Drosophila melanogaster: one gene and its partners. Changing the gene in region 2 together with the main gene of any one other region gives a genetic interaction. Each region holds a gene or a part of one and is shown on either strand. Other genes may lie near its edges. The genes, in order: fs(1)K10, Cf2 and spir.

Region 1 (11,254 bases), on a different chromosome or scaffold from region 2:
CAGCCACGGCGACAGCGGGCCAGATGCGGAGCTGAACGTGCAGCTGGCAAGGAGAATCTATGAGCGAGCCAACGAGATGTTGCGTCAGCTGGGAGACAAGGAGTCGCGTGTTCTGTTGCTAGAGGCATGGCGCGACTTTGAACGCGACGCCTCCGATTCGCAGGAGATGCAAAAGGTAATGGACAAGATGCCGCGGCGCATCAAGAAGCGGCAAAAGATCGTCTCGGACAATGGCGTCGAGGAAGGTTGGGAGGAGGTATTCGACTACATCTTTCCCGAGGACGAAATGGCTCGACCCAATCTCAAGTTGCTGGCTGCAGCTAAGATGTGGAAGACACAAAAAGACAACACGGTGGACGACCCGCCCGCTACAGCTATTGCATCTGAGCCAGAACCTGCAGCTGATGCTGCCCCAGCGGATACGACGGATAGCGGTGACTGATTCACTTCCGCCTAAAAATCGTTGCTTTTGAACAAAGCTAAATATCTGAAATTGCAGATTTTTCGCTTTATTTTTGGATACCTTAGTAATAAACCACTTAAATAAAAAACTATAATGATCTTTTTTTTTGTTATATTATCTGATATATTTTTCTGCTATTGTGCTTTAAAATTTTTCTCCCCAAAAAGAGATTATAAAGTTCTTACTTGGCCCTCAGCAAGAGTGTGAAAACAGAGTATGTGAACCTCATGACCTGGAATCAAGTGAATCATATCATATTTGAATCAAATCAAAGGACATTTGAATATATAATTGTGCCTTGCCTGCTCGAAGGTCTCCAGCGAGAGTGCGATGTAGTTGCCTGCGTAGATAAGAGAAGGCCGCTGCGTCCTGGCCAGGGTGAAGAGCAGTTCGCGCTTGAACTTGGGCAGCTGTTCTATCCAGTTGCAATCGTAGAAGGCATCGCACAGCGCCTCGCTCTGTGTCCGCATCCTGTCCCCAAAATAGCAGATTACAAACACCTCCAAGGTGACGGCCGAGAAAAATACAATCGAGATGATCATGGCGGTGTGGTCGTGGTCATCCGCTACGTACAGGAAGTGCATGGCGACGGTACACTGGACGGCGGCGGAGCAGACGAACTGGGCCATGCAGGGCACTGAAAGGACCCGCTGAATGATCTCCCTCAGCCGATGGACCCGCGCCAGATCGCGGATGCACTCGATGAGTTCCTGGTACACCTCCTCCCGCCAGGCTTCATATGTCTGCCCTTTATTGGACTTTTCCGTCCTGCAGCCAATCCGCCGCACCCTCAGCTCCAAAGCACGCATATGACCCGTGAGCAGGCAGAGAAACGCAGGCGGATAGGAGTCACTAGCGCAGTTCTGTATAGCCTGCACTATCAAGCCGAAGAGCTGGTAGATATTGATGAGCACATAGTTTCTGGTGGAGTGCATCCAGTCAACGCCGAACCAGGCCGGATACAGGAGCTCTCGATCCGGGCGAACGACCACGCGGACGCAACTCAAAGTAGTGCCAAATACGAAAATACTGGCAAAGGTGCGGAAAGTGCCCTGTGCGATATTCACTTCCTTCCTCAAGGCAGAAATCTCCTCGGGATCGCCCACCAGCCGGGCTCTAGCGTCCATGAGCCTTAGGAGAGAGCGAATCTCATGGAGCTGCTTCCTCACCATGTACACATTCGCAAACTTCAAATTGGCCACAATATCGGTAATAGTTATGGTCAGGTTCTCGCACAATCCGGCCATGTTGGTGGTGAACAGCAGCCTGGCCAGCAAGCTCAAGGGAAACAGCACGGTGACCACCAAGTTGACCGTAATGGAGTATACCACGTAAAGCAGGCTTGAAACGCCCGGAGGACGCATCAGGCCAGTGAGCTCCCAAACGCGCCAGTGGTAGTACACAGCACTGTGGGTGTTCAGTTTGAAATCCTCTTGCTTCTCCATTGTCTCGGTTACCTTTGGGCAAATCCATGGGTTCTATTGCCTATATACTCTTGCGATTACCAGTGATTGCGCTATTAGCTATTAGATGGATTGTTGGCCAAACTTGTCGCTTAAGTGGCTGGGAATTGTAACCGTAGGCCCGAGTGTAATGATCCCCCATAAAAAGTTTTCGCAATGCCTTTATTTTTTGTTGCAAATCTCTCTTTATTCTGCGGTATTCTTCATTATTGCGGGGATGGGGAAAGTGTTTATATAGAAGCAACTTACGATTGAACCCAAATGCACCTGACAAGCAAGGTCAAAGGGCCAGATTTTTAAATATATTATTTAGTCTTAGGACTCTCTATTTGCAATTAAATTACTTTGCTACCTGAGGGTTAAATATTCCCCATTGATAATAATAATTCCACTATATGTTCAATTGGGTTTCACCGCGCTTAGTTACATGACGAGCCCTAACGAGCCGTCGGTGGTCTATAAACTGTGCCTTACAAATACTTGTAACTCTTCTCGTTTTGAAGTCAGCAGAGTTATTGCTAATTGCTAATTGCTAATTGCTTTTAACTGATTTCTTCGAAATTGGTGCTATGTTTATGGCGCTATTAACAAGTATGAATGTCAGGTTTAACCAGGGGATGCTTAATTGTGTTCTCAACTTCAAAGGCAGAAATGTTTACTCTTGACCATGGGTTTAGGTATAATGTTAACTGGTTGGGAGATTGGTGCTATACTAGAGTTTTTACGTTGGGTCCCCTAGGCTCTACTATTCCGCTAAGTGGGGCTGCTTTGGCGTTACTTGTCAGGTGGATCCGGTCATGAAGATCAAGAGCGTGATTAATCTACAAGTCGGTAAAGAGAACAGCGGAATTGGGTCAGGGACGGGGTTGGGTGGGGAAAAAGAACACAAAAACAAATCCGTAGATGCACACCATCGAGCACACGTTCACAGAGTGATCTTAATTTGTAGTTTTTAAGAATTAATTTAAAAATACAATCAAGTGGTGTAATCTAAGGCCTACAGTGTGATTTATGCCAGAGTGCTTAGGATCCGGCCACTCTGTTTCAATTATGTCGCGCCCACGCACTCGGGCAACGAATAGGAAAATAATTTATATATATATATATATCAATATATATGCATACATATATAGGTAAGGGCGTGTCATAAATTGTGTACACATACTTGAAATGGCTGCAACTTAGAATTGAACAACAAATAGTTTTCGAATAGGAAACTGGTACGTTACGTTACGTTACGGTTACATTTCAATACTCTACTTTACGTTACGCTAGGTTACGTTAGACAAGTGAATCGATTCGCAATCTAAATTTTTATCGCTATTACTAGAGTTTCGCCCACATTATTATCGCTGGGTTTGTATTTGTTGCTACATTATCGTTCTAAGCTCAGTTCTCAGTCGCAAAAGCAACGTGTGACAAAGGCGGCGCCTCCTCGGATTACGATTGTGTATACGTATATCCGATATAGGAGTCGGGGTTTTGAGTTATATTCGTCTTCAATTGTCAGACTCTTGCTGTTGCTCGCTGTTAGTTTTAGTTTTGAATTGCTCATTGGTTTAAAGTTTAAGTTTACATTTAGTTCTGTGAGTCGACCGACCTCTTCTTTAGTCGGTTCGATTCGATTGATTCGGTATTCGGATTCGGTTGCATTGGCTGCCTAGGGATTTGGAATTGTTGCATCTTTAGCGCTTCCGGCCTTAGGGGCTGCGCTCTGACTTGAAATTGCGTTTTTGTCTTTGTCTGACTTGGCATCCTGCAAAAGAAATACGAGAATTGCCAACGGTGTTCAATAGCAAGGTTGTTGAGTGTGTAAAAAGAGCTCTCAGATCTGTTTTCGCTATTAAATGCATTCTGCGAACTTCTCTTGGCTATTTCCAGATAACTACGCCCACGAACATTAATCACTCAAATCATTATCATTTCATATGCAATGAGTTTCATAAGTTGGGTTATATCTGCTAATTAAGTAACTAAATTGATGTTCTGGCAGTTTAAAATTCATTAAGTTCGCTTTTCACATGCCAACCAAATTGGAAAATGAAAACAGCCATAGGATTCAGTACTGAGGCTCGTTCAATTAAGAATATTAAGTTACTAAGAGTGCATTTATGAATCTACTACGCCTGCCACGATCGAACAGTACAAAATTCTATTAGTTTTTTAAATTTGTATACAAGGTGGCAGTAAACACATTGTATTGCAGTTCTAAATAGTTACACAATTTTGTTCAGTTCCTAATAAATCTATGGTTGTAAATATATGCCAATAGTTTCTCTTTTGCGGATATATATCAGTGCCAAGGGAACAACCGAAGGTGAAAATAGATATGACAACAACCTTCCGCAGGACTGCAGGATAATGCGAGAGAGTGCATCAGGTTGAGACTTACTTTTTCACTTTCTCTGCTCTCTTATTTTTTTCCTACCGCCCGGCAAACGCAACAAAGAGGGACGGGTGGGGGTTACGGATCAAATCAGGGGTGCAAAGTGATTCCGGATTAAGCCGAAACTGTACCCGGAATCGGTGTGCCTCCCTGAATAGAGCTTCGGATGGGACACCTGTTCCAAGGGAATAAGGATATGTTGGGGGGTCTCTATATGCTCACCTTGGCCTTGACAGTGGCTGCCTCCTGCTTGAGATACTCTTCCCGCGCCGCTTCGTAGAGACTAACGAACTTGTCCCGCTGGCCCTTGTACTGAGCGAAGAGCTCGTCGTCTTTGTGGCCCTTCAATCTGTTCTCGATGTCCACCTTCTTGTCGTGCTCGCTGCGTATCTCGTCCGTTACCCAGGGCTTTTCGATGGGATACTGATTGATCAGGTTCTTTAGTGTCTTTATGCTGCTCTTGCCTTTCACCACCTGCTTGATTAGCTTGGGATTGGGCTTCATTATCCGGCCGCCATTCATGTTCATTGGTCCATAAGGTCCGACCGGTGGAATTCCCCGCGGCGGCATCCGTGGACCCATCATGTGCATGGGCGGTGGGACACCCATCATAGGACCTGGACCGGGTCCGTTGCGACGCATAAAGAGCGGTGGCGGCGGCGGTGGTGGTCCACCCATGGGGCCCATGGGTCCGGGACCGCGCATACCAGGCACCGGTGGCGGGAAAGGCATTTGCGGGTAAGGTCCTCCAGGGCCCATCGGTCCGGGTCCCCGTGGTCCGGGGCCCATCGGACCCATTGGCGGACCCATCATGAGGCGTGGAGGAGGACGGTTCGGAGGCGGCCCGCGTTGGAATCCATTAAAGCCACCGCGAATCTGATTGGGATTGTTGCCCGGATGGCGCTGCCAATCGCTTCCGTTCATCTGATTGTTGAAGGGCTGCTGCGACTGGTTCATATGATTGTTGTTCTGGTTGTTCATCTTGCCCTGCTGCTGGTTCGGACTGAGATGCTGCTGCTGGTTCGAATTGGGATGCTGCTGCTGGTTCGGACTGGGATGCTGCTGCTGGTTCGGACTGGGATGCTGCTGCTGGTTCGGACTGGGAGGCTGCTGCTGGTTCGGACTGGGATGCTGCTGCTGTTTGATGCCCTTCATAGACTTCTTCTTGGGACTGCCTACCTGATTGTGTTTGAATCCTGGTGGCGGGCTGCTGAAGTCAATGTACAGGGGATCGCTCGGCATTTGGCTGGAGGAAAACATCATCTGATTGTTACCGTTGACCCTGTTACCATTCCCATTTCCTCCTGGTCCGGAGTTAATTTTGCCCGAACGAAACGGTTTTCTATACGGAGCCGCAGCTGCGCGGGGATTATTGTTGCAATTATTATTGTTGCTCTGGTTGTTGCGGTGCTGCAGATTTGGCTGCTGCTGTTGCTGAAACTGTTGCTGCATTTGGTGCGGGTGCTGCTGCTGCGACTGCATGGTCCAGTTCTGATAGAATTGGTTCTTGGACACCATTGCAGGTAGCTGGATTTCACTGAAAACGGGGGTTCAGGACTCGAGCAGAGGAGCCAAGCCGAAACGACAGGCGGGGAGCAGATGGATCTAAAATGTTGCACGCCTATTTGTCACAAAAACTTATATTGAAAATATTACGATGAATCGATTGCGATAACGTTTCGATACCAGTGCTGTCGAAGGAGTGTGAACAACTATAACAATCAGTTTTTCCCACTAATGTATGTTTCCACTAACACAAATGTAACATCACAGCACATTTTAGAGTATCTCAACTTTTGTTATCGCCTGCGCTGTTATCGATAAGCGTACTTCGCACGTGTGATTTAAATCAATGTTTATATTATTGCCCAAAGTTAATTCTGTTACTTTATTTTATTAACTATATTGGTAAAGTAAAGTAATCATGGGCAAGAAGGTGCACAATGCCAAGGCGCGGCAGAATCCACAAACAATTGTGGACAACTCGGCCGTGAAGAAGGTAGGTCATCCGTCGGACCACACACTCGAATCCGCTTTCTTACCCTTTCCAAATCCAATACTCTACAGATTCAGATCGATGTGGATGCTGTGGCCGGCGGCAACCAGGTTGGCTACGATGAGGCCAACGCTCTGGTTCTGCCCTCCGAGAAGCGGGCCACCAAGATTAAGGTGGACAAAGTGCAACACGTGAAGATCCTTTCCAAGAAGCAGCGCAAGCACCTCCAGGCTATTGTGGACAAGAAGAAAAAGAAAGAGGGTGTAGGTTTTTATTCAGTGCTAATATAAAACTGATATTTAATTGAAATCTTTTCTAATTTAGCGCGCTCAGCTGTTGGGTGACCTTGCTGCCGTTCAAATTCCGGAGGAGGAGCTGCAGCAGTATACTTCCATTAGCCAAGTGCAAACCGTGGGATTAAAGCGTCTACCCACCCTTGACGAGTATCTAGCCAAGAAAAAGGAAAGACAGGCCCAAGTTTTAGCTGAAAAAAGCTCGGCGTCGGGTCTCCGCGTAAATGCTATAAAGGGCTCCAAGCGCAAGCTTCTCGTCGAAGAGGAGGAGGAACTACAGGCCAAGCGAAAGAATCCGAATGTAATTAGCGTGGAGGAAGATGACGAAGATTCTTCATCCTCTGATGAGGACGATGAGGAGGCACCAGCTCAATCCGCTCCTATTGCCATACCCACTCCAGTGTCTATAGCTCCACCGCAAATCGCTGTTAAACCACCCATTAAAAAGTTGAAGCCAGAGCCTAACCCACCTGCCTGTATCCACCAGACTGTCTATGTGCCCGTACATCGGACAACAGAAGTTCAGAATGCCCGTCTTCGACTGCCTATCCTCGCGGAGGAGCAGCAGGTGATGGAGACAATCAACGAAAACCCCATTGTGATCGTGGCTGGTGAGACTGGCTCTGGAAAGACTACCCAGCTACCGCAGTTCCTGTACGAAGCGGGGTATGCCCAGCACAAGATGATTGGAGTGACGGAGCCGCGGCGAGTGGCTGCTATTGCCATGTCCAAGCGGGTGGCCCACGAGATGAACCTGCCGGAGAGCGAGGTGTCATACCTCATTCGCTTCGAGGGAAACGTAACACCAGCGACGCGCATTAAATTCATGACAGATGGTGTGTTGCTTAAGGAGATCGAAACTGACTTTCTGCTTAGTAAGTACTCAGTGATCATCCTGGACGAGGCGCACGAGCGCAGTGTTTACACAGACATCCTAGTGGGTCTCCTGTCAAGGATCGTGCCCTTGCGTCACAAACGCGGGCAGCCGCTGAAGCTGATCATTATGTCTGCCACTTTGCGGGTATCCGATTTTACAGAGAATACTCGCTTGTTTAAGATTCCGCCACCGTTGCTTAAAGTGGAGGCTCGACAATTTCCGGTGACTATTCACTTCCAGAAGCGCACACCTGATGACTATGTGGCGGAGGCTTACCGCAAGACCTTAAAAATCCATAATAAGCTTCCGGAAGGCGGCATACTAATTTTTGTGACGGGACAGCAGGAGGTCAACCAACTGGTGCGCAAGCTGCGACGTACGTTTCCGTATCATCATGCGCCAACCAAGGATGTCGCTAAAAATGGAAAGGTATCGGAGGAAGAAAAAGAGGAAACAATAGATGATGCGGCATCGACTGTGGAGGATCCCAAGGAGCTGGAGTTTGATATGAAACGAGTTATACGTAATATTCGTAAATCTAAGAAAAAGTTCTTGGCGCAAATGGCGTTACCCAAAATCAATTTGGACGACTACAAGCTCCCTGGTGATGATACGGAAGCAGACATGCACGAGCAGCCGGATGAGGATGATGAGCAGGAGGGACTAGAAGAGGATAACGACGATGAACTAGGCTTGGAGGATGAGTCGGGAATGGGATCTGGTCAAAGGCAACCTCTGTGGGTCCTGCCGCTCTACTCGCTCCTCTCCTCGGAGAAGCAAAACCGCATCTTCCTGCCCGTTCCCGATGGCTGCCGGCTATGCGTGGTTAGCACCAATGTGGCAGAGACATCTCTCACCATCCCGCACATCAAGTATGTTGTTGACTGTGGTCGCCAGAAGACGCGTCTTTACGACAAACTGACGGGTGTGAGTGCTTTTGTGGTAACCTACACGTCTAAGGCCTCGGCGGATCAGCGTGCTGGACGAGCGGGTCGCATCAGCGCCGGACATTGCTATCGCCTCTACTCGAGTGCCGTGTACAACGACTGCTTCGAGGACTTTTCCCAGCCGGATATCCAGAAAAAGCCCGTCGAGGACCTTATGCTGCAAATGCGCTGCATGGGCATCGATCGCGTGGTGCACTTTCCCTTTCCCTCACCACCGGATCAAGTGCAGCTGCAAGCCGCCGAGCGGCGATTGATCGTGCTAGGTGCCCTGGAGGTCGCCAAGACAGAGAATACAGATTTGCCACCAGCCGTTACTCGTTTGGGTCACGTTATCTCCCGCTTTCCCGTGGCGCCGCGCTTTGGAAAAATGCTGGCTCTGTCCCACCAGCAGAACCTACTGCCCTACACCGTCTGCCTGGTGGCCGCACTTTCAGTCCAGGAGGTGCTAATCGAAACGGGCGTTCAAAGGGATGAGGATGTGGCACCTGGCGCGAATCGGTTCCACCGCAAACGCCAAAGTTGGGCGGCCAGCGGCAACTATCAGTTGCTTGGAGATCCTATGGTCTTATTACGTGCCGTAGGAGCTGCAGAGTACGCCGGATCGCAGGGCCGCTTGCCAGAGTTTTGTGCTGCGAATGGATTGCGCCAGAAAGCGATGAGCGAGGTGCGAAAATTGCGCGTCCAGCTGACTAACGAGATTAACCTGAATGTTAGTGACGTTGAGCTGGGTGTGGACCCCGAACTGAAGCCTCCCACCGATGCCCAGGCGCGTTTCCTTCGCCAAATTCTATTGGCCGGCATGGGCGACCGGGTGGCTAGAAAGGTACCTCTGGCAGACATCGCCGACAAGGAAGAGCGGCGGCGATTAAAGTACGCATACAATTGTGCTGACATGGAGGAACCAGCGTTCCTGCACGTCTCATCCGTGTTGCGTCAAAAAGCACCCGAATGGGTAATCTATCAGGAGGCATACGAGCTGCAAAACGGCGACTCTACCAAGATGTTCATCCGCGGCATCACCGCCATTGAGCCGGAGTGGCTTCTTCTATACGTTCCCCTGCTCTGCAACATACGTGAGGTGCGCGAGGATCCTGCTCCCAGATTTGATAAAACATCAGGGAAGATCTTCTGTCACGTGGATGCCACGTTTGGCAAGTCGGGGTGGGAGCTGCCTCTCGGGGAAGTGGAGATGCCGCTCAGCGAAAAGGCCTGCTGGTGAGTGTCTTTTTAAAGGTTGGGTATTTAGATAAGTGATCATACTAATCATGTGGTTTCAGTTACTTCGGAATGTTTCTGCTGGATGGAGAGGTTTGCTCGAGGTTAGCAGACTTCCGGAGCAAACTAAAGTCCACACCCGCCTCCGTAATCAAGAGCTGGTCCAGTATGAACAACAAGGTATTGCGCTTTAAGCGCGCTCTAATTACCAAGCAGATCCATAACCGCCAGGCTCTGATCGACCAATGGAATAGCGATCCTCACTGTAAGTTTACCCCAGTCTCTCGAACCCTAATTTCTTTGCTAATCTTCCGTTTCTTCTTAGTCCTTTTGGAGGAGTATCAGAACCTGCTCTACGACGTGGCGCTTAGCGAACTGACGCCTTTATGGCCACCGGTGGACAAGAAAGAGCCACAACGCCAGTAAAAAAGCTAGATAAAAGGGGGTTTTTTTGTATAACAAGTTTCATTTATTATTTATTTAATTGATATATATTTATATAATTTTTATGTATAATATAAATATGAAATTTGTTTTAAATGGAACTAAAAAAATGGAGTGGAGTGAGGGGGAATAAAAATGTTTTGTTAACAGCTAGTTTCGATAAATGTTTAATACAATCCATATATGTACATAGAAATAATCAATATTCATTGTATTTTGTTTTTTGTTGTCTGTTGGTTTTGTCTCTTGGTAATTAATCGTAAGAAAATTTGTCTGCTCTTGGTGAGAAATTAGCATTTACACTTGTGTTAATGAGAGATTTGGCTAATTGGGCATGTGGCTATATAGTGTGTATACGCCTTGGTATATGGTATATACTCATCGAACGAACGGAACGATCGGATTCGGATAGGCCGACAACTGTAGCTTTGTTCGCTTAGCTTCGCTCTTCCCTATATGTACATGTAAATCGCTAGTTGGGATTGGGATTAGGACTCCGTTTGCTGCAACTCCTCCCCCCCCAGGCAATTGGCTGGGACTTCTCAAATGTCATCCACCATACGTCTACAAATGTGTGTAGAAAAAATCAGTCTAATATATTAAGGCAACGTGAGAGCTTTACATGTCGTCATTCCACTTGATCCTCGTCCTCATCCTCATCCTCTTAATCATCTAGGAATTGTGTGTAATATCTTAGTTTTGTAACTTGAATCCTGTCCGAAGTTCGCTTATCGCTTAGGCTTATGTAATGCGGGATTTGTTTCATTTGTGTACTCTTTAACAATCGAATTTGGTATGTTTTGTGTCTGTGTGTGGGGTTCATTAACTTTAACTTTAAACTAATTTCCGTTAAATATACATTTATAAATTCTTTAGGTTTGCTTAATATTTCTGTATTGGCTAGCGAGAGGAGAAAGAACAAAATAGGTAATGTTTGAGAAGCATTTGGTTTTCCGTTTCCATATTATACAATTCGCAAGTTACAACAATTAGTTAAATATATTTTTTATGATCTTTCCAATATCCTGCTCTCGATTTGCGCTCTTTTTCCTATATACCGAGTATAACCTATAACTTTTATTAATACTAAAATTGAATTCTTTGTTTTTTTGTTTGTTTTTGTCTGAATTATTGTAGTTTGCTCCTAATTCCTATGCATACACTAAACGC
Region 2 (12,628 bases):
ACTCACCAAACACAAACAATAACAAATATTACTTTATTTTTCAATGAAACGTAAAGTGAGGAACCTTGAAAGCAGCCAAGAAGTTTTATAAAGTTTTGATAAATTTTTAGACGATTTTACTTTAGTTTACGTTGATTTCTGTCAGTCTTGAGTTCGATTGATTTCGATTGATTAGGATCACTGATAGATCAAAGTTGTTCAAACGTTTAGATCGGTAAAACAGAGCCCACCTGTGTAGGTAACGATATAACTGTAAAAACAAGGCCACATACACTAAGAAAAACAAACCCATTCCTAAAACACGCGTTTTCGTTTACCTCTAAGTTCCTCGACAGTTAGTTACTAACCATTTGCTTTCAAGTCAACCTTTCAACACTATCCACACTAAAGCTAAACAAATGATAGAGATCTTGAGATCATTTTCGATCAGCGAATAATCAGTTGTAAATTTGAGCTTATAGGCATTAACATAAAACTAGCAATTCCCCCCTCATTAACTATCGTACGTCTTACGTCTTGCTAATCTTACCAACTAAAGTGTATTTGTATTATATATTATACACTTGTAATTTCCACTCATTCCCATACAAAATCTAAAAATGGGCTAGACTTTCTGTAAATACACACAATGTACGAGGACGAAAGCGCAAATTGTTACATTTTCAAAACACACAGTTCCCGAACGAGAGTGAAAACCATAGGAAAATGCTTAATAGAGGCTAAAGTGCATATTTTTTTTTTTCAACCCAGCCCAACAAACTCAAAAACTCAAGTATTATTCACTACTAGCTGCTGATTTCCTCCGAAATTTGTAGATCCCAATCAAGAACATCTTAAATTCGTTATTCTCGAAAAAAGATCGTGTTAGAATATTGAAAAAAAAAAAACACAAAGTGAAAACATTTCAAATGTACGCAATAAATTTTGGATGAGCTCGTTATAAAAAACAAGAGAGAAAAAAAAAGAAGGGGGAAAACAAGTCCATAGAAAACATATAGTACAGTTACATGGGCATTTATAAGGGTTATGAAAAGTATATCTATATACACTACAACAAATATATAGAAATTAAAACATGGCAAATGGTTAAATTAGGTAAACTTACAGCATGCATGCAACAAATTGAGCATTTAAAACAAAATGAATGAACAAAACCGAAAATGATAATTAATTATAAAAGAAAAAAGAAAAGTAAAACCAACTTTTGGTTGCGTTTGATCAAAAGTGTGTGTATAAAAAAAATATTTATGGCATATACATAAAACATATAACTAACTTATATTATATATAAATATATATACATATATATATGAGTGTAATCAGCATTACAATAAAACAAAAACGAGAGAAAAACTAAATTAGTGGCTCGGCGCAAAGGAAACTACAAAAAACTAAAACGATTGGAAAAGTGAAACCGAATACATTTTGAAAGTGTGATAGTGTTCATAATATTCGTTCATTGTAATTAAAATGGAAAACAAAACCTAAATAAACTGAACTAAATCATCAAATGTGTCCTTGATTTTCGAGACAGACCTGGGAAACCATCTACATATAGGATATACATATATAAAAGATCCTGTTCGGTTTGTATATATAATCTTTCTACATGGTTGGACTTTATTTTGTATATATATAATTCCTTTTCATATAGTTTTAATTGAAATATTGCTCGAATATTTGCTAGATTTTGTCACGTAAATTTAGATTGCACGTACATACATTTATAATCGTAATATCTATTTATATATTTAATAATAATAAATTTTACAATTTTATTTCTAATTACTCACTTGCTCATGTTCGTGTTTCTGTTTCTGTGTGTCTGTTGTCTGGCTTCGTTTTTGGATTCGTGGCTAAGATCTAATACTAATAGTTAGTCGCTATTTAGTACGTATCGCATTCAACATGACTCATTCATTGGTAATCACTTACAGCAGAGTTAATTGGTTTTTTTTTTCAGTGTTGCGGTTAGTTAGGCGTTTCTTTTTTTTTTGCTGCATTTAGCGTTTTGCTGTTTGCTTTTGATCGTCAACTCTTCACGGTTTATTTAAAACTTAAAGAATTACAATAGTTTAGTACTTAGAATTTATTTTGGTTTTACATGCGCTGCGCATCGTTTGTTGCTGTGCTATGTGCCATTAGGTAGACAATTTGTTTGAGTGTATTATGCATTAATATTAGATACAGGTTTATATATTTGCATACTTTATAATTATATAACACTATGTTATAAAAATGTACATGGTTTTGGTTTTGCTACAGTTTTAGTTTAAGTTTTAGTCGATTTTAGTACGTACAACTCTTGCAAGTAATCATTTGCTGGTTTAAAAAAACGCGTTTAAGTAGTCGTAAAAATGATCAATCCATATTTATATATATTACAAAAACAACTTGAAGCTTTCTTTTTATCAAAAGTATCAATTGTGTAGATCGTTATGTTAATTTTTTTTTAATCTTCTAGTTTGGCGCATAAAGCTGTGTTGCGTTTAGCGTAGATTTCTCATTTCGATTTGCCTTAAATACTTTTTGTTTTGCGTTAAAAAATGCAAATTTTGTAAAATTAATTTCTTAGTTATGTTTTTCGTTATTCCTTTTTTTTTTAAAGTTTTATACAATCTCACTGTTTAGTTTAGTTTAGTTTAACAAACAAAAGCAGCGCTTTCAACTTAAATAATTTAAAAAATAAACAATGGTTAACATTCATCAATAAAAACAAGCTAAAATGATTAGATCATTTAGTTAATTAAAAGTAAATAAATTTTTAAAGCCAAAACAAACGAGATCCTGCTCGTGTGCAAATAATTGAGAAATGACTAAATTTCGTATTGGTCCTTTGTCATTTCCGCTACGAGTCGAAATTTTGAAAAACGTTCTTTCACGTAAAAATAAATAATTTTGTGTTGTTTTGAGTTCGAATAAAATAGATGTATAATTTATAAAAATAATTTAAGTTTTGCGCGTAGACATGAGTTTACCTTTTTCTTTTTGTTTTGCTGCTTTCAGTAACATTTACAAACAATTTAAGGAAGTAATAAAAATAATATTGCCACAAAGTATATGAGTAAAAATATTTTCTCTCTCTTTATAAATAATATATGTGTGTTGTGTGTAGTTTTGGGTGTGTGTGTGTTTGTGTGTGTGTCTGTATAGCGCCGCGCGTAAGTGAGTGTGCGCTATGGAGTCACCATATAAAATCTCATAGAATAACAAAATATTATATACGATATACATAGGTGTATAAAAAATAAAAATTGCAAAACATCTACATAACCAAATAGTAATAAGAATCAAAAATCGATTGCAATAACTTAAACATTCTACGAACTGTATGCTAATTTAGTACAAATCTGTTTCTGCTTCTGCTTCTGTGTTAACCGAACTGAAGGTATGTATCTAATTTAGTAATTTAATCTAGCAGCACTGCGAAGAGATTTGCCAGTCGTTGGTTGCAGTTGTTGCATCCGCTGCAGTTGCATAACTCCCGTCTACGTGAGTGTGTCTCGTCTTTGAAATGGTCTTTCATTTATGGTTTGCTCATCCCGTTTCCGCTGCAGTTCGTCCTAAGCCGATGCCGCAGCCGCCGCAGATGGCTTCTTGGGATCTGTATCCGTGTCGGCGGACAACGGCGGCGGCGCACCAGGACCAGAAGGATTTGGAGGATGAGTAGGAGGAGGAGGAGCGGCTGGGGCAGGAACGGGTAACTGGCGGCCACCGCCCGGCCTTCCCTAGAGCGGATGCAGCTTGGTCGTGTGCACAGTGAGGGCGCTGCGCTGCGTGAAGCGCTTGTCGCAATACGGACAGGTGTACGGCTTCTCGCCGGTGTGCGTCCGTATGTGCTTGGTCAGATAGTCCTTCACGCTGAAGGACTTCTCGCAGTAACCGCAGTGGAACGGCTTCTCTCCTGCAAAACAGCCACGATTGGCGAAACGGAGAAAGTTGGGATACTCGGTTAGCACATGTCGCTAGCACTTAGCCAGTTTGCTTGGTGCGTGCAGTACCAAAGGTTTGATTGATTGATTGATTGACTGAGAGTGGTGGATGTGTGGGTAGAGTAGATATGTATGCATATCAAATAGGTTTTGCACGTAATCAAACTATATATATATATTGATTATATATTAAATGTGTGTATATATTTGGTTGGTGTTTGTTAAAATGCATTCGAGAAATATTATTACGTAATGAGATGAGGCGGCGGGCGATACGGATTTGGATTATCATATTGCTTGGCTACCCTCACAGAAAGCTTTTGCTGAAAAATAGTTGATGATCTTTTCATATTTTCTCGTTCTGTGAGGGTATGTAAACTGTGACTCATACGATTCGTTATTTGTCGCTAATCGAAGGCGGCAAAAATTCAAGGCCCCGAATGTCACTTGCTGGAAATCGAATAGAAACTCGAACTAGACGCTTGATTATAATCTAAAATTAAGCTTTTGCAATGCAATCAAGATGAAAGATCTTAATATAGAAGCACACATAATCGAAACGTTATATTATTCATTTAATTGCACACTGATTTCACATTAATCATCTCAATTTCTCACTAATTACTATAATTCGATTATTTAGACTGTAATTAACGGAGAATATAATCTAGCAAGTGACATCCTGGCCAGATCTGAATCTTGGCCATTAGGTTGGGGATTTTTGCCGCCTTTTTTGGGCGTGGTTTTCTGCGCAGCCGCTGCGGCGGCTCGAGTCTGATGATCGAGCTTCGGCAGGACGACTGGCAGAGGTGAGAGAGATTGATATTGGTACTGATTGATCGAGATTGATTGATAGAGATTGAGCGAGTTTGTGTATGGCAAATGGAAATGGACTTGCATACAGAGGTTTCTCTTTTTTGAGTATTGCTGTTTTTTTTTTTTTTGCTCATCACGCTGAGGTGACAATTTACTGATCGATTGATTGGTTGATTGAAAAGTCGATTGATTGGTTGAGTTGATTGAGAGCTGATTGACTGACTGAATTGATTTGAAAAATATTGCTTCTCACCCGTGTGAGTCGTTAAATGTTTGTTCAGGTAATCCTTAACAGTGAACGCCCTGCCACAATAGCCACATCTAAATGGTTTCTCACCTGTATGTATGCGAGTGTGCTGTTTTAGTGTATTCGATTGAGTGAAGGACTTGCCGCAGTAGGAGCACGTGTAGGGGCGTTCTTTGGGCGTGGCGCTGTCGGAGTTGCGGTTCGGAGAGTGGAGATTCGAGAGTTAACAATTATTTATATTCATATTCACAAAATACCGCGCAGAAACGGAGAGGAAAAAGATACAGAGAGAGAGAGAGAGAGAGAGTGGGCGCGGGAGAAAAGAAAGAAATTTAAATTATATTATTAGTAACACTCGATTTAAAAATAAGTTGCAAAACAAACGACACACGAACGCATGGGCCTCGTCCCAGAGCTTCGAGGGCGCGCCCATGCGCCCAGCTGGCCCGAAGGAAATCAAAAATAATATATATATATATATATATACAAGGTGGTAAGATTATTGGGGTTAGTTCGGCGATCACGCCGCCCCAGTCGCAAAGGAAGACCCACAAAAAACTACGTGGGTATCCCCCCCTTTGAGCTAGAGCGGGCAATGCCTTGGAATGAATAACAGGTAATCCGGCAATGAGCTAGGAAGCATTCTTATCTTAAAGCATTGCAACTGAAAGCTTTCCTGGATGCAAAGACACTTAATCTTGTTGAGATTACACTGCGATCTATACTATATCTATCAATATTTTATAAATTCTTCTTTGCACGACAATATCCCATCACTTCTAACTAACTAACAAACTAACTACTATCATTAAAATATCTATAAGATCATCAAATGCCAGTTACTCGACTAGAGCTTTTAAAGTCGCTGTCCAGTAGCTATCATTGCCGGAATACCCAGTCCGTAAGATGCATATAAAATGGATTTACTCTGCTTCGCCTGTGTGTATCTTGCGGTGCATGGCCAGCGTGCCGGGCGTCTTGAAGGTCTTTGGACAATCCGGACATTTGTGCCGGATCTTGTGCGCCAGATCGGCAGGTACCGTTTGTGTGCCGACTAGCACACCCGAACTGGCCGGAGCGGGTACACCGGGATTGGCTTGTATGGCATAGACAGGCACAGAGTTGACAACATCACCACTGTCGCTCAGGCTGAGTGGCTCCTCCTTGATAATGACCTGCGGATGCGACACAATGGCGCCACCGTTGGCGTTCTTGTTTAGCTTGACGGTGAGTGGTGGCACCTTCAGCGCCACCTGGTCGCCGGCGAGATCCTGATCCTGCTGGTGATGGTGCACCTGCTGCTGTTGCGCCTGCTCCTGCATTTCACGCTGCTGCTGCTCCAGCAGTTCCTGCTGCTGCTGCTGCTGCTGTTGTTGTTGTTGGTGCTGTTGCTGATGGTGGTGCTCCGCCTGCAGTTGCTGCTGATGGTGCTGCTCCTCGGGCGTCAGTCTCATATCACGGGGCGCCATTGCCGGCAGCTGATCGTCGGGCGTCACCGCCGCCTCCTGCTGTTCCATAAAGCCCTGCTGTCCGGCAGCCAGCATGGCGGTGGTGCAAATGGAGCCGCACTGCGTGCATTTGTACTCGTTGGGCTGCTGGGTGGCCGAGTGGATGCCATAGATGCTGCACATAAGGCAGCGGGACAGGAAGGCGGGCGTCTGATGGGCCAGCCGATGGTGTTCGTCTAAATCGACGGCGTTGCCAAACTTTTCATCACAATTGAAGCAGGGGTGGCTGAGCTTGGGGTGCTGCTGTGCCTGCGGATGACCGCCGTCCAGCGTGGCAATGGCTCCCTGGGCGTTCAGCGTGATCCCGTGGCACAGCTGCATGTGATCCGCGACGTGCTGCGGTCGCTCAAACTGCTGGTGACACATGGGACAATAGTGCGGCGACACGTGCACATTGGGGTCCATGCTGAGATTGGGCAGAAAGGCTGTCTTCAGGGTGTCCATGTTGGCTATCACGGTGGCCACTTGGTGCGTGGGCGTGGCTGGGGCGGCGGTGGAGGTGGTGGCTGAGGAGGGGGGCGGCGGCGGCGGCGCTGGCGACTGATCCTCGGGGCGTGGCAGACGCTGTTCCTGTGGATTCGTGGTGGACTTTATCATTTCACTTCCGCTGGCGCTTGGAGAGTAATCGCTTCTTTTGGTTTGACTTGGTTAGTGGGCAGGAGCAGGAGCAATTGGCGGTTAAAGAAGGCGATATGCGCTGCAGGAGTAATAAAAATCATAATTACAGGCGGCCACAAGCGAATGTATGTGCAAGCGTGTGGGTGTGTGCTGGTGTGTATGTGTGTGTGTGTTCTTTGAGTCTGGCAGTCGCAAATTAGCAGGAACGAATTCGGAAATCACAAATTCACGAAATCTTCAGTCCCGATCTTCTGCATTTGACCCCCAATGTCCCCCCACAGCGGCTGGCGAAGAAGAGGAAGAAGGAGGAGGAGATGAAGAAGAAGAGGAGCGGGCAGCAGCAGCGGCAATGCGTTCGAATTGAAAATTTTTTTCAGTCTGTCATATTCTAAATTCGGAATTCTATTTTGATTGCTTTTTCGGTCTCTCGTTTTGTTTCCATCTTTCTTACCAGCGCACTGAATATTTACTGCACCTTGTTGTTGCTGGCGGCCGTTCGATTTTGTTGTATTTGGAGCGGGGGTCACGAAAATGCTGGGGCGGCCAATCAGTTTAATAACATTTTCTCCTTTGTACAACAAATAAACGTATATTAACAAAAAAAATTTTTCACTTTTATTATTATTTTTGGCGAAAAATGTACAACTACAACAAAAAGTATCGATTACTGGCATCGAAACTACGATGGCAACGTCGCTCTAGAACTGACGATGTGGCAACGCCCTTGCTAACGATATATTTTTCTGCCTTTTCCTAAAATATGACAAATAAAACGTTTTCTAAGTATGCAAATTAAAGTATAATATAACTTTAACTTAACGTTATAAAAATTGTAAGCAAAGCTTTCGATATTAGGAGTTCTTCTATTTCCAAATTTATCGGGTCTATCGTTCTGCGATAGCTCGATACTTTCATAAGCTGATAATTTCACAACAATTGGAAAAAGGATTGTTTGGAGAAATACAATAGAAATATTATTGCAACAAGGGTTGCAATTGGCTTCCCCTTATATTGGTCATCTATAGTGCCAAAACTGTCACTTGTCCTCCACCGCGGACATATCAGAGTCCACCTGCAACCCGCCGTTGGTCAGGATTTGGACAGAGGCTTGTTTGTAAACTGCCACAATTACCACCGATATAGAACTCGATCTTCTCAAGCCAAGTTCCAATAGGTTTGTGGAATCACAGCACCAAATTGTGATCTATATTGACTCTCTTTCGATTGTGCAGAATGTCGTCGCCATGGGTTAAGACCAGCGAGCCTGTGCAGCAGGTGAATCTGGCGGATATAATGTCGGAGCAATATGCCCACAAGTTGCACGACAAGGAGCTGCAGCGCCACACGGAGAAGCTGAAAAGACCGGACGAACAGATAGCACCCGTTTGGGGGTCGCAAGCCTCATCCCCGCCAGCGCCCAATGCGCAGAGTATCCAAAGTGATGCGGAGGATTGGGAGGATTACTCTGCGCTCCTCAATGACGAAGGAAACGTAGCGGAGGACATTCAGCTGCCGGAAGACAGCGATGCAGTTATTGCCCAGCTGTTGCAGTCCCAGTTCGATCACGAGTACAATGAGGAATTGCGTCGTATCGAGCGGCAGCAAAACAAGCAATCCAAGGTCACTGTTACCCTCAATAAGTTCCTACGTGATGGCGATGCAGAGTTCTTGCACGACACCGCGGAAGATGACTACGAAGAGGATGAATTGGAGCAACAGAAGCACGACTGGGATCGGTTCGAGGACAATGAACGGCAGCTTGACTCCATACCTCGCTGCGGCTTTAAAGTTAACAAGGAGGGCGAGATGATAACAAAGCACGATCCGCAGCTGTGCGCCGTGCGTAATGCCCAGCGCGTGATGTCCTTTCCGCCGGAGTTTCCCACCGGTGATGCTGCCGGTTTCGACATGAAGCTCTCCAATAAGGTTAGAAGCGGTCAGTTTTAAGCGATAATAAGACTTAAACGTACCTTTCAGGTGTTTAACCAACTACGAGCCCATTCTCGACGAGGCCGCTCCGACAAGCACGAGAAAGTGGCCACCGCGGAGATGGGATTGGATGCGGGTACACGTTTGCTGCTGTACAAGCTGATCAATAACCAAATACTGGAGCAGATCAACGGCATTATATCCACGGGCAAGGAGGCGGTCATCTTGCACGCCAATTCCGATGCGAACTATACGGGCAGCAACGAGCATGGTCACCAGAGTGGTGTGCTCGTTCCACCGCAGCTTTTGCCCCGGGAGTGTGCCATTAAAATCTTTAAAACCACGCTCAACGAGTTCAAGCAGCGCGATAGATACATCAAGGATGACTATCGGTTCAAGGATCGCTTTAGCAAACAAAACCACCGAGTGATTATCAATATGTGGGCCGAGAAGGAGATGCATAATCTGATGAGGATGCAAGCCATTGGCCTAAACGTTCCAGACGTTGTTGTGCTGAAGAAGCACGTGCTGGTAATGCGGTTCATCGGTGACAATCATAACGCTGCGCCCAAGTTAAAGGATGCCCGTCTGAGCGACGCGGAGCTGAGTTGCGCCTACGAAGAGATTGTGGCCGCGATGCACAAGTTGTACAATGAGGCGAAGCTGGTGCACGCCGATATGAGCGAATATAACATACTCTGGTTCGAGGGCAAGTGCTGGTTTATTGACGTGGCCCAGAGTGTCGAACCGAAGCATCCCAGTGCCCTGGAGTTCCTGATGAGGGATTGCGGCAACATTGTTAACTTCTTTGAACGACGCGGCCTGCCCAACATTTACACCAAGGAGCAGTTGTTCGAGTTTATTACGGGTCTCAATTCAGAGGTCCACACCGCCGCTCAGCTGGAGCAGATCCACACGCGTGGCGCTTCCATTAGCCAAGCCACTGCTCCGAATCAGGAGGAGTGCCCCGACGAACTGAAACCCTTGGAGTATCCCTTTGAGCTGGCCTGGGAAAAATCACAACAAGATCGCGCTGCTCAAAAGGCTCTGCAGCAAGCGCAGGATAATAACGATAACAAAACCGACACGGATAAGGATCAAGAGACCGATGACAATGAGAATGATAGTGACGACAAGGAAAAGATTAACAAAACTGCCAACCATTGAAACTTCTAAAGTGTGGACTCATTTAGTTTAGTTTTAAATTGATATTAACAGTTTGGTCACAGAGATTCCATAGTAAAAGATATGATGCTTGTAGTCAAGTAACTTGACTATAAAATATCCCTCGAAAAAAAGAATAAATTGTTTTGTTTTTCCACCCATGGAAACCTTTGCTTTGTATTTTAGAACTTATTTAAAATATTTTTTGGGTAACCTTCAACTCTTTTTTTTGTAGTGCGCTCCAATTTGCATTTGTTGCACTCATGTTGTTACGGATATTTCTCCTAATGGCTTTGATCTTGAATCGTTATTAATCAATTAAGATTAATGCAAATGTCAGGCTTCAATGGCCACACGCCCATCTTCCGAATCAGCTAACCCGACAATTGAACTCATTTGGTGCGCAGTTTTCCCCATTAATTGGGAGATTTGTCGGTTCAATCGAATCTCCGATCAGATGATTACGTATAAAAATGCCATACCCAGTGCACACGATTCTGGGTTGTCGATCTGACGGAACTAGTACATCTATCTGTCCGAGAATAGTCTGGATGCGTTTGCGAAACTGGACTTTGCAAAATATTGTAGTTCAAGTGTGACGTCAGAATCCAGTTGCGAGCAGTTCAGTGCGTATACATATATGTATATTGTAAATGATTCTGTTGCGTTCAGTATAGCTAGAGATTCAAAGTCTGCTTTGGCTTACTCTTCCTTATCATTAGGGAACTTTAAAAACAATATATATTTCGCTTAATTGTGTCTGTGTTTTGATTAAATAATAGTTGCAAACAGTTCTAGATTTCTGTGACCCATTTCTTTGAATACTATTTTTAAGGTTAGAGGATCCAAAAACAGCGTTGCATTTTTGGCTTTCAAATCGAAAACCGTTAGATGCGAATTTCCGTTTCCGCCACAGCATCTGCAATTTGAGTTCAATTTCAATTGATTCGCATTCGCTGTTGTTGTGCACCCGTCAATCAAAATGGAACTTTCTTTCGATCATCAGCACACGCTGCAGTGAATCCATCTATTATTTGTTGTTTATTTGCGGCGCTTGCAAGCGGAAAATATTATTTATTTTTGATTTCTGATTGAGTGCAGCCCACTTGACGTTGGCAACAGCAGATCTGAACAAATCGCCTTCTATTAGCGACTCTTGAAATTGTGATACGAGTGCTACAGCACCACATACATATATGCGTAATATACATACATATGTATATATCTGTGGCTATATGTAAGTCGGCGCCCCACACATAGACGCCATTAGGGGGCCCGACTTCGCGTGATGGTGATGCACAGCGTCGAAAGGGAGGGGAACCGAATGGGAGCCAAGTAGCGTGGGGATGGAGGTTGAAAATAGACGCACCAAAAACACGAGTTGGAGCTGCCAACACAGTGCTGTATAAAATATCATACATATGTATGTATGTTCCCCAATAAAACGAAATCATGTGGCGAAATAAATGTGTCATTCGCATTTGAAATCGAAAAATAATAAACACTGTGAAAATGTTTTGAACTTAAAACTTAAGTAGCAAGAATTGTTCTATACATATTTCCTATAGCATCCTTTTAACTTTATGATATTATTATTATTATCTCTATGCGTCAGCAATGATCTTTCAAGTTATCTTGTACAAAGATTTCTAAGAAATTGTACGAATTTCGTGGAATTTCGAAATTAAAGGAGCACTTGAAAACCAGCTTTCATTGTGGGGCAACGAAAAAAGCACGAATAACAAGTCAAAGCAATAATCATAAAGGCAGGCAGAAAGAAGTGTGCAAAAAAAAAAAATGGCCAATGAAGGAAAGCGAAAAATACCAAACAAGGCTATAAACTCAGACATTGCGTTTGGATCATCAATTAAAATGTGCCGGGCATGTAATCAGGCGCACCAACTCGGATTCCAAACATCAGTGTCCAGTCCACGCTCCTCCACGGGTGAAAAAGTGGGTTGAACTAGGCAAGAAATTAATTAGGATCACAGAGAAAAAAGTATGCAACTGAGATCTATATTATTATTATTCATAAATCTTAAAAGGCATTGGCAAAAAGGCATGTGCTGCAGAAAAACTACTTTCGAAACTAGAAAATGTTCTGAAAAATTAGAATCTTATTTTGCTGGCAGCATTTTCTTCAGGTGTAGCCAGTCACTCACACACACACACATACACACGCGCCACTTGACAGTGCGAAGAGGAAGAGAGGAGGAGACCGAAAACTTCGAAGGAGGCTCGTCGTGATCTTGGGGCCGCTGCTCTGGTGCTGTCGCAGTCGCCATCACCATCTCTGTCGCAGTCGCTGCCTCTGCCGACGCAATCGTGATCGAACTGACCTCAAGTGGTCGCAGACGCCCCCCTTCCCGTTTTTATCACTCCCCAGCAACTCACACGCACACACACACATGCTT
Region 3 (9,793 bases), about 15 Mb from region 2:
TTTTCAGTTGGCTTGTTCTACTGCATATCCGAGAGTCAGGTTCCCATGGAGCAGATTTCTACAGTTCACATTCGTTGGAAACACGGGTTAACAAACCTTTTAGCAAGTTTTCTTGACTACCTCCGCGTCAAAGCTGTTTATATGGCTGCCACTCGACGACACACATTTGGTATATATGTACTTTAGCACATACATTAAGCGGCGAAATATAGGTGTTTTATTTACTTACAAAAACGATAAGATAGGAATACGAAAAATAGCTCTATCGGGGCGCATTTACTCAACGACTTTGCCGCTTTCGATTGCGTTTAATTGCATCAAAATTTATTTATAATTTGGAGCGTAAACAAGCGATTCAGGGTCAATCGGATCGGTTGAGCCCCAAATGTGTCCGCTCAATGGACCCCACAAGTGTCATCCACACAACGGAGGAAAAGCGCGCCACAATTTGGATTATCGTCTGATTTATTGGGTCTGCGACGCACTTTCAAAACCCAAGTCTCTTGCATTGAGTATCTACGACTGTGTCCGAAGGCGACACAAAGTATTTCCATTTCAAAATGCAGCCAATGGTCAGCGGATTTCGTAACTCGAATGCAAACTGCACAGGTGGACAAGTTTAGGAGAGGCCCAAAAAATAAAAACACAAATACAAAATACAAAATAGCCCACCGCATTTGGGTCTCTGAAATTTGGTTCAGGTTCGTCGTCGTGCTTATGTCATTTGTTGTCATTATGAAAAAATTATTATATTAATTGTGTCCCAAAACTGGAGCGTCAACACAATAGCTGGCAATTAAATTTGGGTCTATGATGTGTCAAAAAAAATATAAGCCAACGCGGAAACCTAAGAGCACGTGGTGTGGTCCCCTGGAAAACATAAACTATTACTGCCGCTTGATAATAAATTCATTTCAGACAGCTACCTAATCCGAAATAAACATAATATATGGTCTCGAATTCCAAGTTACTTTGAGTGGATTACGAAGGTTGCAAAATCGAAATGTTTGGCGTTTGTGAAATAACTTTGGTGGCTAGCTAAAACATTTTCCCAAAGTCAATATCTCAGCTTCTGTGGAAACTGTGGAACTATAAATTAGCTGCCACTAATCGAAACATTGAGAGAAGAAATCGTTGACCTTATCATCGTAAATTGAAGCCATTTCAAAACTCCTCCATCTGAAAATGCCCCTCTCTAATGGCTAATTGAGCCCACTGAAGTGCCTAATAAATAGGCGGCACATTGCAATTATCATTTGGTAACTCTTCATTTGGACTCCACCCAAAGCTTTGCCAGACAAAGAGATAAGCCCAAGATTAGCAACAATTTACCCTCCGACCATTTAAAGATACTTCCAAGAGTCTTTCTTCATTTTCCTCCACACAACGGACAACAAAAAGTGCACCAATTTGCTGCTGAGCTTTAGTTTCGTTATAATTTTGTTTGGTTTTTTTTTTTTTAGTTTCGGGCCATTTTTCGCTGACCGTTGTTTGGGTAATTTTTAGTGTAATTATTTAAACATTAAACCAGTTGAGCGGCCAGTTGTTTGTATTGTCGGTGAAAACAAGAAAGTCATAGACATGAAAATAACATATCATCACCCAAGCGGATGATTCGAGGCCAAAAAGGGATTTTTTCTAGCTTTCTTTCCGATCTCTTTGATTACTTCGAGTGAAATAAGTTTGGAAACGGAAGAATCAAATTAAGTGAGATGAATCAAATGAAAAGCGGCGAAAATAAACAGAGTAAAACACAATCAACAGCTGACTTGGAAGAAGAGAACCTACCGCAACAAATGTTCCCTTTCCATTTTTCCTATGCTACTATGCTTACGATTTTCCTGTTTTCCGGTTTTCCGATTTTTCCGAACTGCGCATGACCCATGACCTTGGGGAGAAGGCTCCACAAAATACGTGGGCGACTTTTCCAGTGGAAAATTTGGAATAAGCGAACACCTGCTGGCGCAAGCCATTTCCCAATTTTCTGCGAGCCTGCTGAAAAACGTAATGGCGAGTTTGTGTGTTGACAGATTCAAGCGCCAATTTTATCGGTGCGCCCGTGAAAATGTGGAAAACTCTGTGGAAACTGCTGCGCGCCTAATCGAGGCGCCAGAGGGCGCGGCGACCCGACGGCGCCGCCGACGTTTTCCCATCAAAAGCTCCGTCTCCCACGCCCCGATTTCCATGGTCGCGGGTGCTCCCGAGGGTTCCGATGGCCTCCGAGGGTCTGGAGCCGAATTCGACACAATCAATGATTCGCTGCGCCCGTGGATGCGGTTGTCAGGAGGCGATGGAGCGCGATTTTCAGCCAGAGACCAACGGAAATCGAGACCGAAATCGAAATCGATGCGGCAAGTTCAAAGCCCGCACAGCAACAATGTAACCTGCGAGAACGTTCCACCGATTTGATGTATTTGCTTCGGATAACACAGAAGCAGCCGACCGAAAGCCATTAGAAGGTGCTGAATCTGATGGCATCCACCCGTCTGGTCCGTCTCCCATCTGTAATAACTTGTTTGAGCAGACTAATTGCCCCCGCTGGCGGTTCTCGAGGTTCCCGGGCCAAAACCTTTCGATATCTCACCTAATGGCTTGGATTTTAGCGGCTGAATTAGCGGCAATTAAGGTGTTACAAGGTGATCTCTGTTTGGCCCGAGGAAAGTTCTGATGATAAGCATAAACAAAGGTTACGTGTGAATTTAGATAAGAAATTGACGATCACAGACCTTTAATTACAGAGGTTTAAGAGCTAAGAACATTTTTTAAGTTATTTATAAAAGAAAATTTCTGAATTTTAAGTAGTATACTGAAATGGGTTTTAAAATCCCCTAGGACTTCCTACAGCATTATCAGCCATCTATAGTTCCTTCACCTCCGAGTTACACAGTTCAATTAATACTGTAACTTCCTGTATCTGCGTGCCCTTAAGATTACCCATGTAACTGGCTAATTGTCTATAAGAGCTAACTAATTGGCCACGCTGATACAAAAGCCGGCTATAGGCAGAGTTGGCCTGGCCAAATAGAGATAGACAGGCCCATACGAAGAAAGATGCAATGGAATGCAGTTAATGCTGCAGACCAAAAGCTGAGCTGAGTCACATTAAGGGCCACCTAGGAGAACGAAATCCAAGATTCCCATCACTACCCACTCAGAAACGCATTTTCCAATTAACGTGGCTTATCTAAAAGTCGATAGATTACCGACCTGTATTTTGACAGTCCCCGCGCAGACGAATGATTAAACAATTAGCTGCGAGACAGACTCAGACACGTTCTGTAGATTCAGAGATCGAGAGGCGAAAAAGTATCCCCCCATCAATTACAGCGAATGCAGGGGGAATGCCGAAAGGAAAGGCTGTGATCGTTACACTGGAAAAAATCTACTTTCGTAGATTTGGATTCGATTGTATTGCGGCAAGGAAAAGCGTTCAATCTTCTGCCCAATCCGAACATGACCTGCCTTTCTTCCAGTGATACTTGTGCTCTCCGAGCTACAAAAGAAAGTGAAAAACACTGCTGATAGGGTACTGGGATGGTACCTTCTTCATGGGAGTCGCCGTTTACACTTTCCCAAGCCAGCACGCAATCAGACAGAAGGCAGAAGTGGGGAAAACCCCAATCAAAGCTGGCTGGCTGCATAACTTAAATGCAGAGGTCATCATCGGATGGCGGATAGTGTGGGTTGTTTGTTTGGAAAGCGCTGGGGACTCCGCTGGCGATGGCCGGGCGATGCCAATAGTCAGATGGATGGCACACGGAAACCCACATCACGGCAGATGTCCGAAAATAAAAGGCCGAGAGAAAGAAGTTAACTGTGGCTTATTAACTGAAAATGAAAGCGTTTGCCGAAAAGACAAAGACCCCTCAGCATTCGGAGAGGCATCAGCGCAACCGGTTTTCCGGCCCAGCTAATCACAGCCCCAGTTTTCATCACTGTTACAGTTCCGCATCTGAAGTCAACACCCAACTGACCTCTGACGGGCCGAAATACACATAAACTATATATATATCTTTAGGAAGACTCATAAAAAATAATAGGAAATATTGCTCAAAGGATACAGAACTTAACACAAAGTCGAAAGAATATACACGGGTTGCTAGCTTAAAGGTAGTCAAATTGCATTTGCGTGCAATGTACAATAAATTATTTGTGATTAAAACATGTTACTATAATTGTAAGGAAAAACGACATTAAAATGTCATTTGGGGTTGGCAGGTTCATTAGGTTATCAATCCAAATTGTTAGTTGATCAATGTTGTATTGAACATTTCCACTTCTATATAGATTCTAAAGATTGCCAGTTGTGTGCAGCACGTTAATAAATAAATGTTATAACATTAATAACTATGACTATAGATCAATTTTAGTTCAAATATTTTCAGCATGATTTAAAAAATAATAAATTAAAAATTCAAGGAATAGAAGATTCATACTAAGTTAATTTCCGTTAATTAAACAACTGGCATAAACTGCAGGAATATTAATTTCCGCTAACTGTAGCCGTGAGAAATATGTATGCATATTGATTTTTCAGTAGGTCGGTCTGCTTACCTCTGTTGATGACGCTGCTGTCGCCGCTGCTGCTGGCGCTGTGGTCCGGCTGATCCACAATCACGTCGTGCTGCGGGGGGAGGGGGATCTGCTCCTGCTGCAGTTGCTCCTTAGGCGTCAGCTGATCCGGGCCGGAGAAGTGGACGCTGCCGTCGCGATGGAAGTGCAGCTCGAATCCGGTGGGCAGGGCGGCCTCGTAGTCCGCGGCACAGGTGTGCGCTTGTACGGCCACCTGGTGGTAGAGCCCGGCGAACTGGTGGATCAGGGCCCAGGCCTGGTCCTCGGAGAGCGGCGCCTTAAAGGAGTCCAGGATGTCGTGCAGCGTGACGCACTGTTCTGGCGAGGAGCAGCGGTGGAAGGCTTGCAGGATGAGCGGGCGGGCTTGGCCCGCCTGCTGGGGATGCGCACTGGAGGACATGGCCAGCTGGTCCGCTGGCAGCTTGTGTTGGGCATCGCCGTTGGCGCTGTCCGGCGATGTGGACAGGAAGGCGTCTTCCTTCGCGTCCTTGAACTTTCCACTCGGGGTGGGTGTGGGCGTGGCCTTGACCTTGGTGGGCGGCGTGTCCGCCTGCTCCTCGGCCTGGTGCTCCGTCATTATGTGTGTGGGCGTGTGTGGCTATCGATGGCTTTCAACCCGATTCCACTGCAAACCCGGCACTGGCCAACATATAATTGATTTTTTTGCCTCTTTCGGGTGGGCTAACCTGCAAAATTCGCGGTTTGTTTTTGGTTCGATTTTGGTTTAGTTTTGTTGTTGTTGTTTTTCTGTGTTGTGTGTGGTAAATGGCAAAGGAAACTTTAATACAATAATAACACAACACGAGGGGATGGAATTCGGATTCCCGACGTACACGATTCTAATATTTTGTTTGTCGTCAGCTACATTAAACACAAAGCACAGGGTATAACAAAAAACACATGATTTTCGCTTGAGAATATTTTAAACTGGCGTCACGTTTTTGTTTTCGCACTTCTTAAGTCGGCATTCGCAAATCGCCGTTAGACTCTGCTAGAAATTTCACAACACTGAGGAGATGGAAATCACGCACTTTGCTTTATTTTTATTTTCTTCTGTTTCATTTGCATTTCTTTATTATTTGAAATCTCTCTGTTTTTCTTCGGCAATCGCACTTCGTTTTTTCTCACCGGCTATTTTTTACACACGTCCGTTCGCCGCGAGTTGCTAATCGTAAATGACACTCTTGTGCTCAAATGCATGCAGCATGCAACAATGTTACCAACTTAAATGTTGCCGGAACGGCCGTTCCAACTTGAGTTAAGAGAGCATTTTGTTCGTACAAGAAGAGAAATATCTTCGTTGTGTTCTAAATGAAATTTGAATTGGAATTGAGGGATTTTTTTTTTAATTAAAACTGTTCTTTTGAAGACAGCTGATTCACCTAATAATAAGATCACATCAAAATGTAGAGTCAATTCGACGGAGAGCGAGAAAAAAAAAACAAACAAGCCCGCGGGAAAAACATAAAGTTTTCTCTTTTCAAATTTGTTGCTTCAAAACGAAAAAAGTGAATGGTCTCTTGTTATGATATACTCTCTTTTTCCGTGGAAACATGCATAGCAACAAGATGATGCAACATTCCCAAATGTTGCAGACTAAAGTGTTGCCGACTAAAATGTTGACGGATCAGCCGTTCCAATTGGAGTTGAGGGACAATTTTTATTCGTAAATAAAGAGAAATTTTTTCGTTGTCTTCTAATTGGAATTAAGGAATTTTTGGGGAGCGACAGCTGATTTACATAATATAAACATTGATTACAAGAATATATTGTAGTATGTGCATATATCGAGGGTACACTGTACCTATAAGTACACAGCAACACTTAGTTGCATTGCATAAATAAATGTCTCAAGTGAGCGTGATATAAGATCACCCATTTATGCTTTAAGCTAAGTCAGCATCCCCACGCTGGCCGCTGGCCATATATGCGCATAAGCTCTCTCTCTCTCTCTCTTATACATATATATATACGCTGCTCTTCTGCCGCTGTCGACGGCGGCGCAGTCGCAGTATTTAGGTAAGATTAGACACTCTGTAGAGGTTAAGCGGGCAGAACCGTTTCTGCTACTCGAAGAGATAAGAAGAAATAAAAAGGTGGCCTGACGGCTGCACCCAACTGCAAGGAAAACACGTGTTCTCAATTGGTGGCATATATTGGTTTATTACATGGCGACCGTGAGGCAGGAGCCTGCGATCTGAGGACTACTGAGGAAATGCTGCTAATATTGCCGATTTGATTTGGGAATTCTAAACAGCGACAACAGGTGTGAGAGGCAGGCCGCCCCTTACACCAGTGCGGGAGACCTAGAGACGGGACACTGATGAAAAAAAAAAGAAACAAAAATACTGAGTGAGTAGAGTGTGGTAATGGGCAAACGCGGATGTCAGGAAATCAAAAATAAAGGTATAGCACATATTAAGTGGCTATGATATACAAATAAAACACCGCCCCCATGGGCAACGGCACCGAAATTAACTGCCGAATTAGACTTTCTGAAAGAAAACCTCCAGCAAAGAAAGCCGAATACCACAACTCACTCAGCAAAAATAGAAATAATCAATGAAGAAATAACTGAAAATTCAACATCACCCAAGCCGAAAAGACCCGACGTCTGCATGAACGACTGCCCTCGACCATTGTAAGCCGCAACAGCAATTAGCACGGCATCCTGCGAGGGTAGGATTAGGATAAAGGATAAAGGATTCCACCGGCGCGCCGCACATGACAACAGCGAATGTCTACCAAGCAGACGTTCGAACACCCTGCTCCTGTCGAGCAAAGGGATCTGCCAAGTATCAAAGAGGTAATAGAGGTAGATCCGTCCGCGGGACCAAAGCCCTTGACCATACAAGAGTACAAGGCACGGACTGCAGCGAGGGAGCAGCCACCTAAAAAGAAGAGGGGTGGCCGCCGGATTAAGTTGCTCAGCGCCCGGAGGCTCAACATCGAACTACTGAAGACGGCAACTAATGAGGAAGACCGGCAGCGCTACAAAGAGCGCCTTGCAGCCATCAATCAACAACTTCGTGGTGCGAAGTAAAGCGGCGGGCTGCGTTATACGCCATAGCCTCAACCGCCCAAATATTATATTAATGTTGTCGATGCGGTTTCCGCTGCAACAAAATTACTAACTTATCAGGGACCCATTTCATAACTAACACATTATACTCAGTCCTAAACTTAAAATAAGTAATAATATTGTAAAATTGCAAATTGCAACCGATGTAAACTGAGTATAATGAATTCATCTATCAAGTAAAAATATGTTTAACAACAGTTTAGACCTATTAAAATTTCGAGCTATATTTATATCTGATCGAGATAACAATAATTGACCAATTCTCAAAGTTAAAATTCTATTTGTACTTTTGATATACAAATAAAGACTAATTTTCCCCATATCAAAATGGGACATAAGTCGTGGATACAACCCCACAGTTAAATTCAATGTACTTACTATTTTTGATTTTAGTTATCCTATCAGCCTTTTAACCTGGCCTTAAAACTTTATCAGTTTCACAAAAGATCGTTGAAAAGACTTACATGAGTCGAGCCAATGATTTAGACAAAATCTAATAGAAACTACACCAAAAAGGTACAAGTGCGATTACATCGCTAAAAGGTACATACATGGAATGGCTAAACTTAACCATATCCATAAACAATATTAGAGATGCTTTTGATAAATCCTATAAATGTATTAATAAAACCGCGCTGATCAAAACTCAGACGCTTATTTTTCACATAAAGGTATTGATAACACAATACAACACATTACAAAACCTAATAGTAACAAACAAAAGCAAACTCACTGAAGAACATAAAGTCCAATGCTTCAAAGTTCTCAGTTCATTTGGTAAAAGACTACATAATACCAGCGTTAGACACAGTATTATAATAGAAGTCCCAACAGAACTAACCAAAATAGCAGAATTCGACGAAAGCCAGTTAAGAGACTTGGACGAGTCGCAGCCGTTAGAAGATTTAGATATCGAAAGCGATATCGAATCAATAGAAGAATTAAAATTTAATACCGTACAACCAAATACAAGAAACATGGCCAACGCATTAGAAGCTCAGAGAGCATACGTTAAACAGGTATCTGCCACAGTACCTGAATTCGATGGTAAGAAACTCCATTTAAACAGGTTTGTGACAGCACTTAAGTTGACGGATCTAACTAAAGGAGATCAAGAAACTTTAGCAGTAGAGGTCATAAAGACCAAAATTATTGGCCCATTAAACTATAAAGTAGAACATGCGACAACGATACAGGCAATAATTACCATATTGCAGGCAAACGTAAAAGGCGAATCGCCTGACGTTATAAAGGCCAAATTAATAAATGCCCAACAAAGAGGCAAGACCGCGTCTCAGTATGTTACAGAAATAGACAGTATGCGTAAGCAGCTCGAGGCAGCTTACATAGACGGCGGATTAGACGCCGATAATGCTGACAAATTCGCGACTAAAGAGTCGATATCAGCAATGACCAAAAACTGTGCCAACGAGGCACTTAAAATGATCTTAACTGCAGGTACATTTAGTACATTCAACGACGCAATGGAAAAATACCTACATTGCAGTACAGAAATAACCGGCAATTCAAATACAGTCTTATTCTATAATGGGAATAATAGACGTGGTAATTATAATGCCTACTATCGTGGTAGAGGCAGAAATAATTATAACCATAATTATAACCAGAATTATAACCAAGGTTATAATAATAACAACAGAGGTCGCGGAGGCTACCGCGGCCACGGTAATAACAGAGACGGAGGTAACCGAAGGGGTAACCAAAGTCAGAATAATAATAACAACCGAAATGTGCGTAACGTACAATCGGAAAACAGCCAGACCCCCTTAAGCGATCAACAGTAAAAGTGTTTAAAGTAAACCTAAATCTGAGTATTTTCATTAAGACAAAAAACCATGAAACAAACACAGTTCTTACATTACTAATAGACACAGGTGCAGAAATTTCATTGCTAAAAGCCAAAGCAAAGGAATATAATAATATAAATTTCAGTAATATATCAAATATTACAGGTATTGGGCAAGGAACCATACAGTCTATAGGTACAGTAGATCTTGACATACGCATTCAGGATGTTCTAGTGCCACATGAATTTCATGTAGTACCTGAGAATTTTCCGATACCATGCGATGGCATAATCGGAATAGATTTTATCAAGAAATACAATTGCGTATTAGA

What was found.
Region 1: of Cf2 (region 2) and fs(1)K10, changing one suppresses a phenotype caused by changing the other (phenotypic suppression), as found in Drosophila melanogaster (one study listed by BioGRID).
Region 3: of Cf2 (region 2) and spir, changing one suppresses a phenotype caused by changing the other (phenotypic suppression), as found in Drosophila melanogaster (one study listed by BioGRID).

Annotation. Positions count from the first base shown.
Region 1 is NC_004354.4:2,236,885-2,248,138, reverse strand, and holds fs(1)K10 (female sterile (1) K10), read right to left. Parts: upstream 6,002-11,254; 5' UTR 5,831-6,001; coding exon 4,535-5,830; intron 3,683-4,534; coding exon 3,587-3,682; 3' UTR 2,098-3,586; downstream 1-2,097. Other genes in the region: crn (crooked neck), read left to right, coding at 1-442; Or2a (odorant receptor 2a), read right to left, coding at 645-695, 766-1,908; kz (kurz), read left to right, coding at 6,237-6,311, 6,380-6,571, 6,633-9,640, 9,703-9,905, 9,966-10,066. UniProt on the Drosophila melanogaster protein: May be involved in localization of sqd to the oocyte during oogenesis.
Region 2 is NT_033779.5:4,875,293-4,887,920, forward strand, and holds Cf2 (chorion factor 2), read right to left. Parts: upstream 7,816-12,628; 5' UTR 7,597-7,815; exon of another isoform or gene 7,573-7,596; intron 7,510-7,572; exon of another isoform or gene 7,201-7,509; 5' UTR 7,101-7,200; coding exon 5,923-7,100; intron 5,181-5,922; coding exon 5,002-5,180; intron 3,905-5,001; coding exon 3,729-3,904; coding exon of another isoform or gene 3,564-3,728; 3' UTR 1,818-3,563; downstream 1-1,817. Other genes in the region: CG3008 (uncharacterized protein), read left to right, coding at 8,355-9,047, 9,099-10,217. UniProt on the Drosophila melanogaster protein: Transcriptional regulator; binds to the promoter region of Cp15. Also binds to its own promoter, thus having a probable autoregulatory role.
Region 3 is NT_033779.5:20,307,176-20,316,968, reverse strand, and holds the start of spir (spire), read right to left. Parts: upstream 5,751-9,793; 5' UTR 5,150-5,750; coding exon 4,555-5,149; intron 965-4,554; exon of another isoform or gene 8-964; intron 1-7.